2 linked regions of the Xenopus tropicalis genome follow. The protein of the gene in region 1 binds, or shares a complex with, the protein of each later gene. Links are inferred from orthologs where the notes say so. Each region holds a gene or a part of one and is shown on either strand. Other genes may lie near its edges.

Region 1 (7,019 bases):
ATCCATATGTGTATCTCCCATTACCCATTCTGCAAGGATAGGTTTGGCCTCATGTGGGGTGTTAAAGGAGTGTTGTAGGCAATTGCGGAGGATTATTAGCCGGACAGGAAAGCCCCATTTGTAGGGAATACTTTGTTTACGCAGGACTTCCGTAATTAAGGAAAATTCTTTCCTCCTGTTCAAAGTGTGAGCTGAAAGGTCTGCATAAATATGTAAGGACTGGTATTGGTCCGGGATTTGGTTACTTGCTCTGAAGAGCCGTAAAAGAGCTTTCTTTGTAGAATAAAAGGGAATTCTGGCAATTGTGTCTCGTGGGACCTCAGCTTGGAGGTTTTTTGGCTTTGGGATTCTGTGAATCCTGTCTACTGTTAAATTAGTAGCATTTACATGAGGCAATAAAGTTGTGAGCAAAGTTTCAGTTAACTAGTTAAAGGGTTAACTCTTCCTGCTTTACTTGTTTTGGGATACCTCTGATTCTTATATTATTTCGCCTTGCACAGTCCTCTAACTCTGCCAGCTTATCTTTCATGGCTAACATTTGCTTGTTAACCGATTCTAGGCAGTCAGAGTATTGGTTCTGTGAGTTATACATAACATCCACATGTTTTTCTAAAGCATCGACTCTTTATCCAATCTGATGAACATCAGTATGTAATATCTGTATAGCTTCCTTAAGATTTGAGTGCAGAGATATTTTTAAATCCTTTAGTAGTGATTTTAGCATGCTCACCATGATAGGAGCAGTATCAGTAGCAGGGGTATCGTCCGTGTCTGAAGCAGTCTCCGAAACTGCGTGTTCGCCTGGTTCCGGCCTGGAGCTCGACTGGGTTGCCTTAGCCAGGAAAGATGTTAAATCTGCTTGGGGATGCTTCTTATTACCCTTGGATGACATATCTGCGGTAAGAGAGGGGTCCAACTGTCTTATTTCTGTGTGAAGCTGGATTAAGACCAATTCAAGTAGCTCTTTATCTCACGTCCGCCTGCATGCACATCCAGGCCACGCCCCAAAACAATTGATTTTTTAATGTGATGTGGAAACTGTCCCACCTAAGATATCCTGGATGGCCTCTTGGTTTTTGGTATAGGCATGTTTTTCTGATTCTATTTTTGATGTAGATGGTGTTATGGAAATTGATGTGAGTAGAGGAATGGTTAATCGTGGGATGAAATTGGTTGAAAGCTTGCAATGTATTTTTATTGTTAGCCAATATACATCTTGTATTTGTGTTTTTTTATTTTTAACACTGGCTAACACGGTACTACAGTTTTTGTTTTGTGATTACAATGGAAGTTACTGCAATGTACTGCATACAGATGAGACTTAAAACCCTCCTGAAGAAATTGGCTCAACTGGACAGCAACATTTTCTTTTTAACAAAGTGCAAAAAAGAAAACCTGATTGAAAAGGACTCAAATTCAAAAATTCTAATCAGAATACCTACAACAACCACTTTGCACATAAATTATGCTTCAGAACTGCAGAAATGCGTCAAAATCACCTTATCAAAATATCCTACAGTAACAAGAAGAGCATTCAAGATGAAATTAATCTATTGAATGGTAAACTATATGGACCGATTGCAGACAGCATCAAACAGGCACTGCAACAATATAACAAAAGTCTACAATATCTGGTCCAAAACAAAAGAAAGAAACTTGACAGACTGAAACTAAAGGCAGGCTTGACTATGGACCCACCTAGGAAACAAAATATGCGTTCCAACACTGACTGCTCTGTGATTAACCTCTACTATAAACCTAGTACAGTGGAACTCAAAGTACTCTCAAAAGGACTGACATTCTGCCCTACCAAAAGCCTTGATAAAACAGAGCTCTGCAATGACATGGAGGATTTTTCTGGAGATTAAGACTCAAAGACTTCTTCCATGATAGGCCGAATATAACACCAGACGACAACCTGGAGAATCATTTAATCAAAACAAAAAAGAAGAGCAACTGGACACCACAACCAGGACAAAACCAGAAACTGGGCCAATACATTGATTGCTTCAGAAACAGAGTTATATCTAATATACTGGCCAAGCAATTGAAGTTGATTTACAATATCAATATCTAGGAGAAAAATGCTATACAGGCTTTGAAAACCAACAAAGACTTGATAATTAAACCAGCTGATAAAGGGCATGCTGTGGTAATAATAGAACAGGATCCAACTCATAAATATACAAAGGAACTTAAACTAAGTCATCAGTAGCCTGTCCCCCCCACAGTTTTATACAGGATGCAACTGATCTTTTAAACAAACTGGCTGTCATAGGTCCACTTCCAGAGGGCACCAGCCTAGCTACCATGAATGTTAAATCTCTTTATACCAGCATCCAACATGAAGATAGTATTGCAGCCTGCCAATATTTCCTTGAAAAATCTTGTATGCCCACTCTACAACAAATCTGATTTATACTAACACACAACTATTTTCCTTTGGGAGATGCCATAAACCTCCAACTGATGGGAAGTGCTATGGGAATCAAAATGGCACCTCAGTATGCAAACTAGTTTATGGCCTAGTTAGAAGAAAATTTCCTGGCTTCCTGCAACACCAGGCCTTTGACCTATTTATGGTATATAGATGATTTACTTAGATGGCATTCCACCAAACATTCAACCAATTTCATCCCACAATTAACCGTACCCTTAACCATTCCTCTTCACAAATCCATTTCCTGGATACCACCATCTACATCAAAAATGGAATCATACATACATTCTTATACCAAAAACCAAGAGGCCGTCTAGCATATCTTAGGTAGGACAGTTTCCATCCACATCACATTTGATGCAATTGTATTTAGCCAGGCTCTGAGAAAACTTGCAAATACATCCTGTGCAAAGATCAAATTGCAATACCAAATACACAAAAAACCTACATCATTCGGTACTGCTATTCATGTGCTTCCTCCAATGTGGTGTACATGATCATATGTACTAAGTGCCCTACAGGAGGAATGCACATTGGAGAAACAGGGCAAAAACTACGCACAAGGATGAATCATCACAGACATAAGATCAAGACCAAAGCGTGTGGTACACCAGTGGGACAACACTTCTGCAATCAAGACTCCACAGACTTCAGGACATTAAGGTTTTAATTCTAAAAGGGAACTTTGAAACTGAAGGAGAAAGGAAGCTTAGTGAATTCAAATGTATGGAGTTATTTAACATACACAAGACAGGGCCTTAATTTGGTTCAGGTTTCATGTCACACTATGTGACCTGACTGAATCCAGACCCTTGGACTATATTTACAACCCATCCTAATAAACATTAATTACTTTTATTATTATCTTCACAAGTTATCTGTAACTTCCTAATTTATTGCTCGTGAACACTTCTCTCTGATCTAATAGTATATATGTTTTGCCATTCCAGTTTTCATTTGTATTTGCCTGACGAAGGGGCCTTAGAGTTTCGAAAGCCTGCAATGTATTTTTATTGTTACCCAATATAGGTATCATTTCTACAATACTCTTGTATTTGTGTTTTTTCATTATAATAGGAAAATAAAAATCCAAAAAGGTACTAAAAGTTAGTCTGGTAAAGCAAAGTATTGTTTTCAGATTTTTCTGATTATTTTCTTGAAATCACACAAAAAAACACTAAATTGAGATTAACCTTATTGTAAGTATAATTAAAACATTGTTATTTGCTGTATTTTTATTTAACCTAAATGTAAGAATACGTTAGTTATTGCATATTTCTTGTATTCTTATTGCAGTACTAATGTGTAACATTATGCTTTTGATTTTGCATTTTTTAGAAACATACTGGAACACAGTCCAAAAGAAAACAATCTGCATCAACCAGCTTCTCCCAGTGGGTTATCAAGCCATTCAACGTCTTCTCACCTGCTAGAGGGTGTAGATAAGCAATTTTTTGAAACTTATGATAATATCAAGAAAAGCAGTTCAACTGATGACTCCAGCCAATACTACTGTGATAATGTATGTATTAAAGTGCAAAAATGTAGTGAGAACTGAAAATTATTTGAATAGATGTATGTTTTGCATAGGACTTTGTCACATTAACATTTTACTGTAGTACTCCGTATAGAAATTTTTTTTTTCCACAGTTTCTATGCTTTGTGATAAAGAGCACATATTATAAAGAGGTCTTCTCATTAGACTTGTATTGATTGTAGTTGTTTGAAACTAAAGTAGAATGCGACTGCTTTCAAGTTCAGATCTTGCTCTGTTTAGTGCAAGAATATAGAATAAGAATATAACTAGATAATATACAACAAGAATATAAAATATAAAAAAAAAATTGTGAAAAATATAAATATTTCAACAATTAGGGCTATGACACATGGAGCTACTTGTCATAGCTACAAAACACTAAAAAATACTCTGCCATAGACAATACTGAGAACTGTCTCTGCTAAAACACACCTAGAGACAATTATCAGAATTGTCTACTTTGTAGCTGCAACAAGTAGCTGGCTGCAAGTAGCCTTGTGTGTCATTTCCCTTAAAGAAGATATATACCTTTTTTAAATATGTGTTTTCCGATGGCCTTAGGCGACCCCTGTAGAAAGGGTTGTATATATCTTCTTTAAGGGAAATTACACACAAGGCTACTTGCAGCCAGCTACTTGTTGCAGCTACAAAGTAGATAAATCTGATAATTGTCTCTAGGTGTGTTTTAGCAGAGACAATTCTCAGTATTGTCTATGGCAGAGTATTGTCTATGGCAGAGTAATTTCATGGTTGGGGCTCACCACAACATGAGGAACTGTATTAAAGGGTCGCGGCATTAGAAAGGTTAAGAACCACTGGTTTAAATGATTATGTATGTAAAGGGGAGGGGAACAAAGCTTGACAGAAGTAGGCTAGAAATGCTGCACATGTTTAAGATTGTGTACCAGCCCAAGGCAACCACAGCCCTTCAGACGTGAGGTCTGTGTCTCTAAAGAGTAAGTCACCATTCTGCTTTTTCACAGCACATATTCTTTGCTGCTATCAGTTACCTGAGCATAGGGACCAACTCACAATATAATGCATATATAGAATGTAAAAGTTACAATACAAAACTGAATAGTACTTAATTCAGATTCTCATTACATGGCAACTCAGAAACCTGTGCAATTTGCAGAATTTAATAATCAGCCCTGTAGCATCTGTTTATATAACAGATAAACCTCTGTCAGAGTTGCTAGTTTGTAAGAAGCCTGTGTGCTAATTAACACACTGCTACAGGAACTGCAGGTTAAAATAAAATGTAATAACAAAAAACTGAAAACAGAACAGGCAGGAATAAACAATGCAGGCAACAGATCAGGACTGGCAGCAATCAAACAGAATCCAAATAACAGGTCTAAGGTCAAGGGCTGGTGGATAACATGCAGAGTCCATTAAACAAGCTAAAGGTCATGACGGGCAGAAGACGTGTAAAGTTGAATAAAGGGCCACGTTAAAAACCGGGGAGTCAGATTGGAGGGAACAAGGACAGAGCAGGACAAGACTTACTTACAAGGACTTACAGGGCAGAATTCTCCATTCACTTAAAACAGGAACTCAAACAGGTGTAAAAATCATGTATTGAGATGAAATTTGTTTTATGGTTGCACTCTTGACTTGACCATCCACATCTGTTAACATTGTTCCTTAAACCTGGAATGTAAGGAGGCAACATATGGAATGTTTTATGGATAAGGGTGGGGGAGGTGTATCCCACTGTGTATGTATACAGTATATCCAAGACCAAAGGAGAGTCAGGAGTTAAGCTGGCCATACACGCACCGATAATATTGTACAAAACCTCGCTTCGTACGATATTCGGTGCGTCTATGGCAAGTCAGCGAGTCGACCGATATCGCAGAAGGCTGCTAATATCGTCGACTCGCCGATCGGCCAGGTAAAAAGATTTTGATCAGGCGCCATAGAAGGCGCCTGAGCAAAATCTGCCGTCAGGGCTGAATCGGCAGAAGGAGGGAGAAATCCTATTGTTTCTACCTCCTTATCTGCCGTTTCAGCCCTGAAGGTTAGTGGCGGATTTAACAATCTTTCGCAAATCGCCACGTGTGTGGCCACCTTTACTCTCACACTCAGATATTCACACATAAAGCCCTGAAACACACATACATACACTTTTAATACATTCAGTGAACAAATACATACATATACTTTGTATTATTTTGGTAGGCTGCCAATGATACATTTGACTGGCTAAATATTCTGTAATTTGTATGTGGGAGAGTGATTGCCTGACTCTCCTTTGTTCTTGGACATATACATCCTTCTCTCAGCCCGACGGAAATGATGCGGGGCTGAGAAAAGTGGATCTACGCTTTGTGTGACCTTGCCCTAAGCTTAGCTTTTCCACAGCTGTCTAGACCACACTAAGTCAAAATTTTTGACTTTCGGATCACCAATACGATATTATCGTGACTAATACGACAAGAAGTGAAAAGTATCCTGTATTTTGACAGCTTGATGGTGGTTTTTGTAATACTGAATTTTATAAGTCTAGAATACATCACAGAGCAGTATGTGGAAAGAAGTATATCTGCTAGGTTTATCTGCAGTTAAATTATTTTGTATATTGTAGAGTGACACTGTAAATGGAGATTTGTTGTTGGTTCATATTATACCAGATGAAGAAGGAAAATTTGGATTTAACCTAAAGGTAATAACAATTATAAATAATTATAAAATTAAAACATTCAATAGAGATGATATAGAGATAAGATTAACAAATCCTATACAATACAGTATATAGGTATGGTCTTTTGTTTAACAATTAAAATGTTTGCTAGTGGGCTAATTAAAAAAAAAGAAGTAATTTTTAAATGTTAATTGTAAACTTTGACAGTAGCAAGCAATGCCAAACAGATGCAGAAAGGGCCAGTAGGTTTTTGTGCTGTATGAAAAAGCAGTGAGGATTCACAAGAAGAGAGGGCAAGTGTATAAAGAACTGATTAAGAGTATAGAAGATCTTGGTTACAAAAAATGACTGGCCAAGTTGTGATAGTTTGTATTGGAAAAGCGACTCTTAAAGGG
Region 2 (7,698 bases), on another chromosome or scaffold:
CAAATGTTCTCTATAGGTGAAAGATCTGGACTGCAGACTGGCCATTTCAGTACCCGGATCCTTCTCCTACCCAGCCATGATGTTGTGATTGATGCAGAATGTGGTCTGGCATTATCTTGTTGAAAAATGCAGGGTCTTCCCTGAAAGAGATGATGTCTGGATGGGAGCATATGTTGTTCTAGAACCTGAATATATTTTTCTGCATTGATGCTGCCTTTCCAGACATGCAAGCTGCCCATGCCACACGCACTCATGCAACCCCATACCATCAGAGATGCAGGCTTCTGAACTGAGCGTTGATAACAACTTCGGTTGTCCTTGTCCTCTTTGGTCCGGATGACATTGTGTCCCAGATTTCCAAAAAGAACTTCGAATCGTGACTCGTCTGACCACAGAACAGTCTTCCATTTTGCCACACTCCATTTTAAATGATCCCTGGCCCAGTGAAAACGCCTGAGCTTGTGGATCTTGCTTAGAAATGGCTTCTTCTTTGCACTGTAGAGTTTCAGCTGGCAACGGCGGATGGCACGGTGGATTGTGTTCACTGACAATGGTTTCTGGAAGTATTCCTGAGCCCATTCTGTGATTTCCTTTACAGTAGCATTCCTGTTTGTGGTGCAGTGTCGTTTAAGGGCCCAGAGATCACAGGCATCCAGTATGGTTTTACGGCCTTGACCCTTACGCACAGAGATTGTTCCAGATTCTCTGAATCTTTGGATGATGTTATGCACAGTTGATGATGATAGATGCAAAATCTTTGCAATTTTTCGCTGGGTAACACCTTTCTGATATTGCTCCACTATCTTTCTGTGCAACATTGTGGGAATTGGTGATCCTCTACCCATCTTGGCTTCTGAGAGACACTGCAACTCTGAGAAGCTCTTTTTATACCCAATCATGTTGCCAATTGACCTAATTAGTGTTATTTGGTCTTCCAGCTCTTCGTTATGCTCATATTTACTTTTTCCAGCCTCTTATTGCTACTTGTCCCAACTTTTTTGGGATTTGTTGACACTATGAAATTCTGAATCAACATATTTTTCCCTTAAAATGGTACATTTTCTCAGTTTAAACTTTTGTTCCGTGATTTATGTTCTATTCTGAATAAAATATTAGAAGTTGGCACCTCCACATCATTGCGTTCAGTTTTTATTCACAATTTGTTTAGTGTCCCAACTTTTTTGGAATCCGGTTTGTACGTAAATGTAATGACACAAAGGCACCACCAATAGAAGGAACCATGTCCCAATCTAGAAAACAGAATATTTCAGCCATGTGCAGTAGTTACCTTTGTGTTTGTATTGCATCATGGAACATTAATGGCACTTTTCAGTCAATGGCAAAAAGTGTAGTGTTCTGTATTGTTTGGCCCCACCAGAAATGCAAGCTATTGCCATTTGGCTGGTCCAATGAATGGTTTCGAAGAGAATGCATTATTGGCGCTATTATACAGCCAAGGGCAATCTTACAAAGGCAACTATAATACCCATCACCATGCAACAGTTTTCAGCTCTTTGGAGATAGTGACAGCGGCATCTTAAAGGGGTAGTTCACCTTTAAGTTAACTTTAAGTGTGTTATAGAATGGCCAATCATTCTAATCAATTTTTCAATTGGTCTTTATACATTGATTTTTTTATAGTTTTTAAATTATTTGCCTTCTTTTTCTAACGCTTTGCCGATTTCTAATGGGGGTCACTGACCCCAGCAGCCAAAAAACTCTGTGAGGCTGCAGTTTTATTGTTATATTGTATATCTTAATTTTCTATTCTGGTCCTTCCCTATTCATATATCAGTCTCTCATTCAAACCACTCCCTGGTTGCTAAAGTAATTTGGACCATACCAACCAAATAGCTGCGGAAACTATAAACTAGAGAGCTGCTGAACAAAAAGTTCAATAACAAACAAACTACAAATAATAAAAAATGAACATCAGTTGCAAATTGCCTCAGAATATTACGCTCTACTGTCATACAAAAGTTAACTTATAGTTGAACAATCCCTTTAACAACAGCTGGAGAAGCACAGAAAACACAAGCACTGGCACTTGTCACGATGCCAAGCACGCATGCTGATTCTTGTGTAATCCTAATTGTACATCCCGGAAGATAAATTACTTGACCATATACAATTTGGCCTAATCAAGTTATCAGTAATAAGGAAACTGTATGCAGGGGGCAGATTTTTCCAAGAACCTATTTTGTTCTGGCTAACCCAATCTTACATAGTTACATAGGGTTGAAAAAAGACCATTGTCCATCAAGTTCAACCCATCCGAGCAAACCCAGCACACAACCCACACTAACCAATCTATACACTCACATACATAAACCATACACACAACCAGTAATACTAACTGTAGATATTAGTATCACAATAGCCTTGGATATTCTGCTTGTTCAAAAACTCATCCAGGCACCTCTTAAAGGCATTAACAGAGTCTGCCATTACCACATCACTAGGAAGGGCATTCCACAGCCTCACTGCCCTCAACGTGAAAAACCACCTACGCTGCTTCAAATGGAAGCTCCATTCCTCTAATCTAAAGGGGTGACCTCTGGTGCGTTGATTGTTTTTATGGGAAAAAAGAACATCCCCCAACTGCCTATAATCCCCTCTAATTTTGATTATTATATGATTTGAGGAGGGTATACGGCAGGGGGTCTGTTAGCCTTGCTGAAAAACACCCAAACTTGGTTAGCCATTTCCCAATAAGTGCAGCCTGTTTAACTAGGTACAGGATCCAGTCAACAAAATCTGTGGAAATAACCTAAAAATAAAAATCCTTTAAAGACATTACACATTAAAAGATACAGTTTAATAGGGGCAATGTCTGCCAGTTATTTTGAAGTAATAATGTCTCACAGACTGATCTATGCAGACCTTGAGCAGGCTAGAGTGGGTCATAAAAATCACTTGGAGACAGTGGGCCTCCAGTTGGTCTGTCCAGAGCTAGAAAATATGCATAGATATTTAGTAATAAGCCACTTGAAAGTGCCGTGTAATAAATAGCCATCATCCATTGCTGCTTTTTCCTTTACACTCTAGCTCTGCCAGAAGTTTCCCATTGACCTAAATGGGAAATTCCATAAAAATAATGGTGGTGTTAATTATGAACAGGCAGTGTAAAATAAAATTAAAGCCTTTATAAATGTGTCAGTTATTTTACACTGCTTTTTAAAGTGTTTTCAGAAGTAAATAAACAGTCCCTTTGTGTTGCTTTTTTATAGAATGCTAAATATGGTTCTAGCTGCCCAATTCTGTCAGCCAGGGGACATTTGAATGTTACCTGGACCTGACCCTGCTCGGTTGCAACAACAGTTTGGCTTGTTCTAAATATGTGAAATAATTAATTCTGTAAAAGCAGAAAATCAGTTTTTCAACAGACTTAAGCAAAGGGAAATTGTGAACAATACAGTACCTTATCCTTGGTAGCATTGCGGTGGCTGTAAAATGTTACAACTCTCTACATCTGCAGTAAGGGCATTAGTAACTGAACAAAGAGAACTACATTTTAGCTTTAAATTAATGTTTATGTACTAAATTATAAAGATAAAATACCCAGGGAACATACTATTTATTGCTAATCCCCACGGTTTTATAGACAATTACTCATTTCAAACATTTGATTAAACTACAAAATGCTCTATGATGATACTCTCACATAATTCAGTGCGACAGGGCTTAGATTGTAAATGGTATAGAGGCATATTTCATCTGCACCATTTTACAGTACTAAACCCGCATAAAACATGTAAAGTTTGTGGATATTTACCTTAGTGATATAGGAATCATGCAGGAATCATATAAACAAGGTAATATGCCTAGAATTCTCTATGCAGCAAGGAAATGTTATATAGCAAAAATGGAACACAAAGCTATGCCAAGTGCAACACAATACAACCATCTGGTGGCTCATAACCCTTTGGTAGTTGGTCAAGGGGTAGTGAGGTGAACATTTAAGACATGACAGACATGCAAATAAAACCCCAGAATTGTAAAAGGGATGTCTTTACCTGCATGTTCACTGCACAAATGTCACATGGGTGCCATAATCATGGGGTATAGCTATGGGTCTATACACACGGGGGTTTGTACCAGAGCCAGCAGCATTATTGAAATCATGTCTGAAAAGACAGAAAAACAGGGAACAATTTCCCTATGGAGCAATCTACACTGCCACTAGACAATTAGTGCCAAAAAATATAATTTACTTGTACTGAAATGCTCTATAGAAATGTGACCTATTTTTTAGCAATGCTGTGCATGTATAGAATACCCAGCTTGTACACAAGCTATTTTTGAGCTTGGCAATTTGTGTTTGTTCTTGTGTTTGTTCCATTTGCCAATAGAGACATAATACAGCATTTTAGGTCCAGCAAGCATTTTTGCAAGCTGAAGGCAATATAGCTGGCAGGTATAGAAACTTATGTAGAGTACTATGGCAATATCATTTGTTTGTGCCAGTTGAAATCGAATACACTGCATTATACAAAACCCTAACTCACAGTACTACAATGATATAGGACTCCAATGCAGTCTGCAGGGGCTGGCACACATATGGCTCCGCTCCTGTGATTCCTGGCACAGATTACACAAACCCACAGGTGTTGGTCCAATGAATGATAACTTTCATGAATATTTGGAGCATTGCAACTTACCAAACAGTGCCATAGGCTCCTGATCCCACAGCCACCAGGTCTCTGTACCTCTCCTTCACCTCCCAGACGGTCTTATTGACGTCCTGCCTATAGTATCCCTTCTTGGGCAACGGGGAGGTGGACATGGCTACTAGTTGCCAGCAGGCTCCTGTTGCACTAGTACTATGTGAATGTGGGTCCCAGGCAGAGTCACCTGACTGCTGATACTGGGCGGCTCTCCTGAGAGGTACAGTAATGTCACGGTGAGCAGTACTGACTTGTCCTGCTCTTATTCACCATGAGGGACCGGCTGCCTTCTTTACGTAGAACAGTCTCTTCCGACCAGCCCCTCTTTCTGCGTCTTCGCTCTTCGGTCAGCTCTCGCCTTCCACTTTCGTTTTCCTTTTGTCCACTGTGCGTATTTCCCGCACCCTCAGCCTGCACAGTAGCTGCCCAGTGACGGGAAGTATTTCCCATATAGAGCCCGGAGCTTTGTGCCGTCACGTGACCCGGCCAGTCCTTCTCCCCTCCCTTCTCCAGTGCGCAGATTAGTACTTAACCCACTCACTGCTCTAGTCCGACACAGTCCTAAAGTGATTTGGGAAGTTATGTGGCCGGGAATTCGCTCACACGTTCATACGTGTTATGACCCTTCGCTACAAGAAGACGATCTTTGCATTATTTTTCAATGTGAAGCTTTATGACCTCTCTTGGCATGAAGTGCCATTATTCAATTATTATTCAATAACCCACTGCTACTACTAGGCAGTTCAACCTAACAAATTCATTCTTCCCCAATGGGTTTTTATCAGACTCGGTTTACATTATTACTAATGCTTATTTGTAATTATTATTTGTTCGTCTGTGAAATTAGATTACACAGTTGTAATATCTCAATGTGGCTGTAGTCCCAGTGTACCAAATCTAGAACAGGCTTTTGTACCTGTAAATTTAAATTGCCATTATTAAAGGCCCCTGCTGAGCTCCAAATAATCTTGGGGCAAAAGAGCCAACTCAGCCTATTGTTATGCTCCTATAAATGCAACAGACTCTTTTGACACAATTACAAGCTATAAAAGGTCCCATTGTAATATTAAGTAAGGGTGTAGCTTAGTAGCTAAAAGGGTTGTGACCATAATGCTGGCAGCAGGGGCCTAAGGGGACACAAATAATATATTTTCCCATAGAATAACCAAAAATGCAGATTAAATGAGATATTTAGTAACGCCACATGCAAGGGTCAAGGAATATTGGTGAAGGGGTTGGATTAATACTTCCTGGTCAGCAGGGTAATTAAACCATAGCAACCAAATAACAGTCAAAACTCTAAGCCTGACAGCTGCAGAAGAAACTATAGGTTTTAATGACCTATCATTTCCCATTAGGGACCAGGCCCAGCCCCAAGGGAGCATGATATTCTTGGATGCTGTAGTGTAGTTTATACATTATATTCATGTGCAGCACCCTGAACAGACAGGTCCTGCATGCAACTTACACTATTTATATAGTGTTTGAGATGCAAGATTAAGCACGCCTAAACTCATGTGCGATTTGATTCAGCTTTATTTTGCCTGATTGTACCCGCCTGCATCAGGATCTGCATTTTAGCACAGCTGCGTTACAATGTATTTCCTTAAACACAACATGCTGCATTTTTATGCCTTTAACATGCCTTATAATTCAATCAAACAGTTGTCAAAAAATATGTTTTTATTTATTCAAGAAGTTGTGTGTTTATCAAGCTGGGTTCAAATGTGTTCTGTAAAGTTTAGAACTGACAACTCCTATGAATGAATAAGAATCTTCCTATATACTGTTCTTCTTCAGTGACTGCTATGAGATGGAGCATCTATTTTGCATCTAGAGGGTAATTACACACTAGTATAAATTCACAGAGCAAAGAAAATGGAGATACACATACCCACCAGGATTCCACAGTTTTTGCCCAGTGGGTTGTGAAATGGCACCTTTCACTGACTTTTATTGTATGATAAAATATCTAACCAATTCTGTTTTGCATATGTGTTTAAATTGCCCATGAAATTTAGACATTACAATGCCTTGAATGCTACTGCCTCCCCCAGCAATGGGTCTGTTGTCTCTATTATCAGGTGCCTGAATGTGAGCATGGTTTCTTTTTCAGTGAGGAGAAAAACAAATAAAAGTTAATGCTCTTTGCTTGGATCTGGCCAAGATGGGGGCAATGCATGGGCAGATTTAAGCTTCTGATTTAGGTAATTCAAACTGATTTGGCAGTTTATCTGCCTGTGTATGGCGCACTCTGATGGGCATTCCCAACAAGTATCTGGCAGACTTGATTTTCCATTGTATCAGGGACCACATTGGCTTATTGATGTGGTCCTCATTCCAATGGCTGCTATTCGCGGTACTGTAATTAGATCATTTGGACCTATATCCCGATATTGGGCTATATTGGGAGAAAGACCAGCTAATTTGGCAACCTCACCAAATAAGCAAATCTTATGGTGTATGGTTTTACCATCACTTTCTAACCAGTGGAATTTACAAACTAATTTAACTCTCAAAGACATACATATGCACAAAGCATACAATTCAATCAGGAGGGAACCTTTGATCATTGTCCAATGGAAAGATACCTTTGCAATTGCAGAAAACCTTCTCAAATACAGGCAGAGCAAAAGTTTTTTTTTGTTTTACAATCCAATCATCTTTACTACTCATTTACTCAGCCTAAGCGTACAAAATATTTATTCTGGGCAGCAGGTTCACTTTTATAGTCAGCATGGAGGCCATATGCAATGCCCACACTGCCAAAAAAACTACAATGTATTGCACAGAATGAGGTTGTGTTACATAAAGCAAGGCATATCCCAGCAGCATGAGTCCATGCAATGTGCATTCAAATTAGTTCTCTGTCCCTTCATAAAAATTTAGCCCCATGCACATTTCAATTAGGAAAACATTATTTCAGCCTGGGCTTAGCCTATAAAACCCAGTAAATGGTTCCTATGGGTTGTGTTGGCTTCCAGTGGAGCCCTGCAGAATGGCTTTTGCATAGATAAAGTGTGGTTGGAAA

Evidence for each region.
Region 2: the proteins of ptpn3 (region 1) and mapk12 are in contact, whole or in part, in a crystal structure (PDB 4QUM), measured with the Homo sapiens proteins. The link is inferred for Xenopus tropicalis from reciprocal best matches to the Homo sapiens genes PTPN3 and MAPK12. Residues at the interface, in NP_002820.3 of Homo sapiens: Arg655, Leu671, Asn674, Arg675, Tyr676, Lys677, Asp678, Val679, Arg751, His812, Ser843, Ala844, Gly845, Ile846, Gly847, Arg848, Met883, Gln886, Thr887; in NP_002960.2 of Homo sapiens: Met182, Thr183, Gly184, Tyr185, Val186, Val187, Arg189.

Annotation. Positions count from the first base shown.
Region 1 is NC_030682.2:75,260,820-75,267,838, forward strand, and holds part of ptpn3 (tyrosine-protein phosphatase non-receptor type 3), read left to right. Parts: intron 1-3,778; coding exon 3,779-3,962; intron 3,963-6,567; coding exon 6,568-6,645; intron 6,646-7,019.
Region 2 is NC_030679.2:71,611,355-71,619,052, reverse strand, and holds the start of mapk12 (mitogen-activated protein kinase 12), read right to left. Parts: upstream 5,154-7,698; 5' UTR 4,787-5,153; coding exon 4,662-4,786; intron 4,128-4,661; exon of another isoform or gene 4,017-4,127; intron 1-4,016. UniProt on the Homo sapiens protein: Serine/threonine kinase which acts as an essential component of the MAP kinase signal transduction pathway.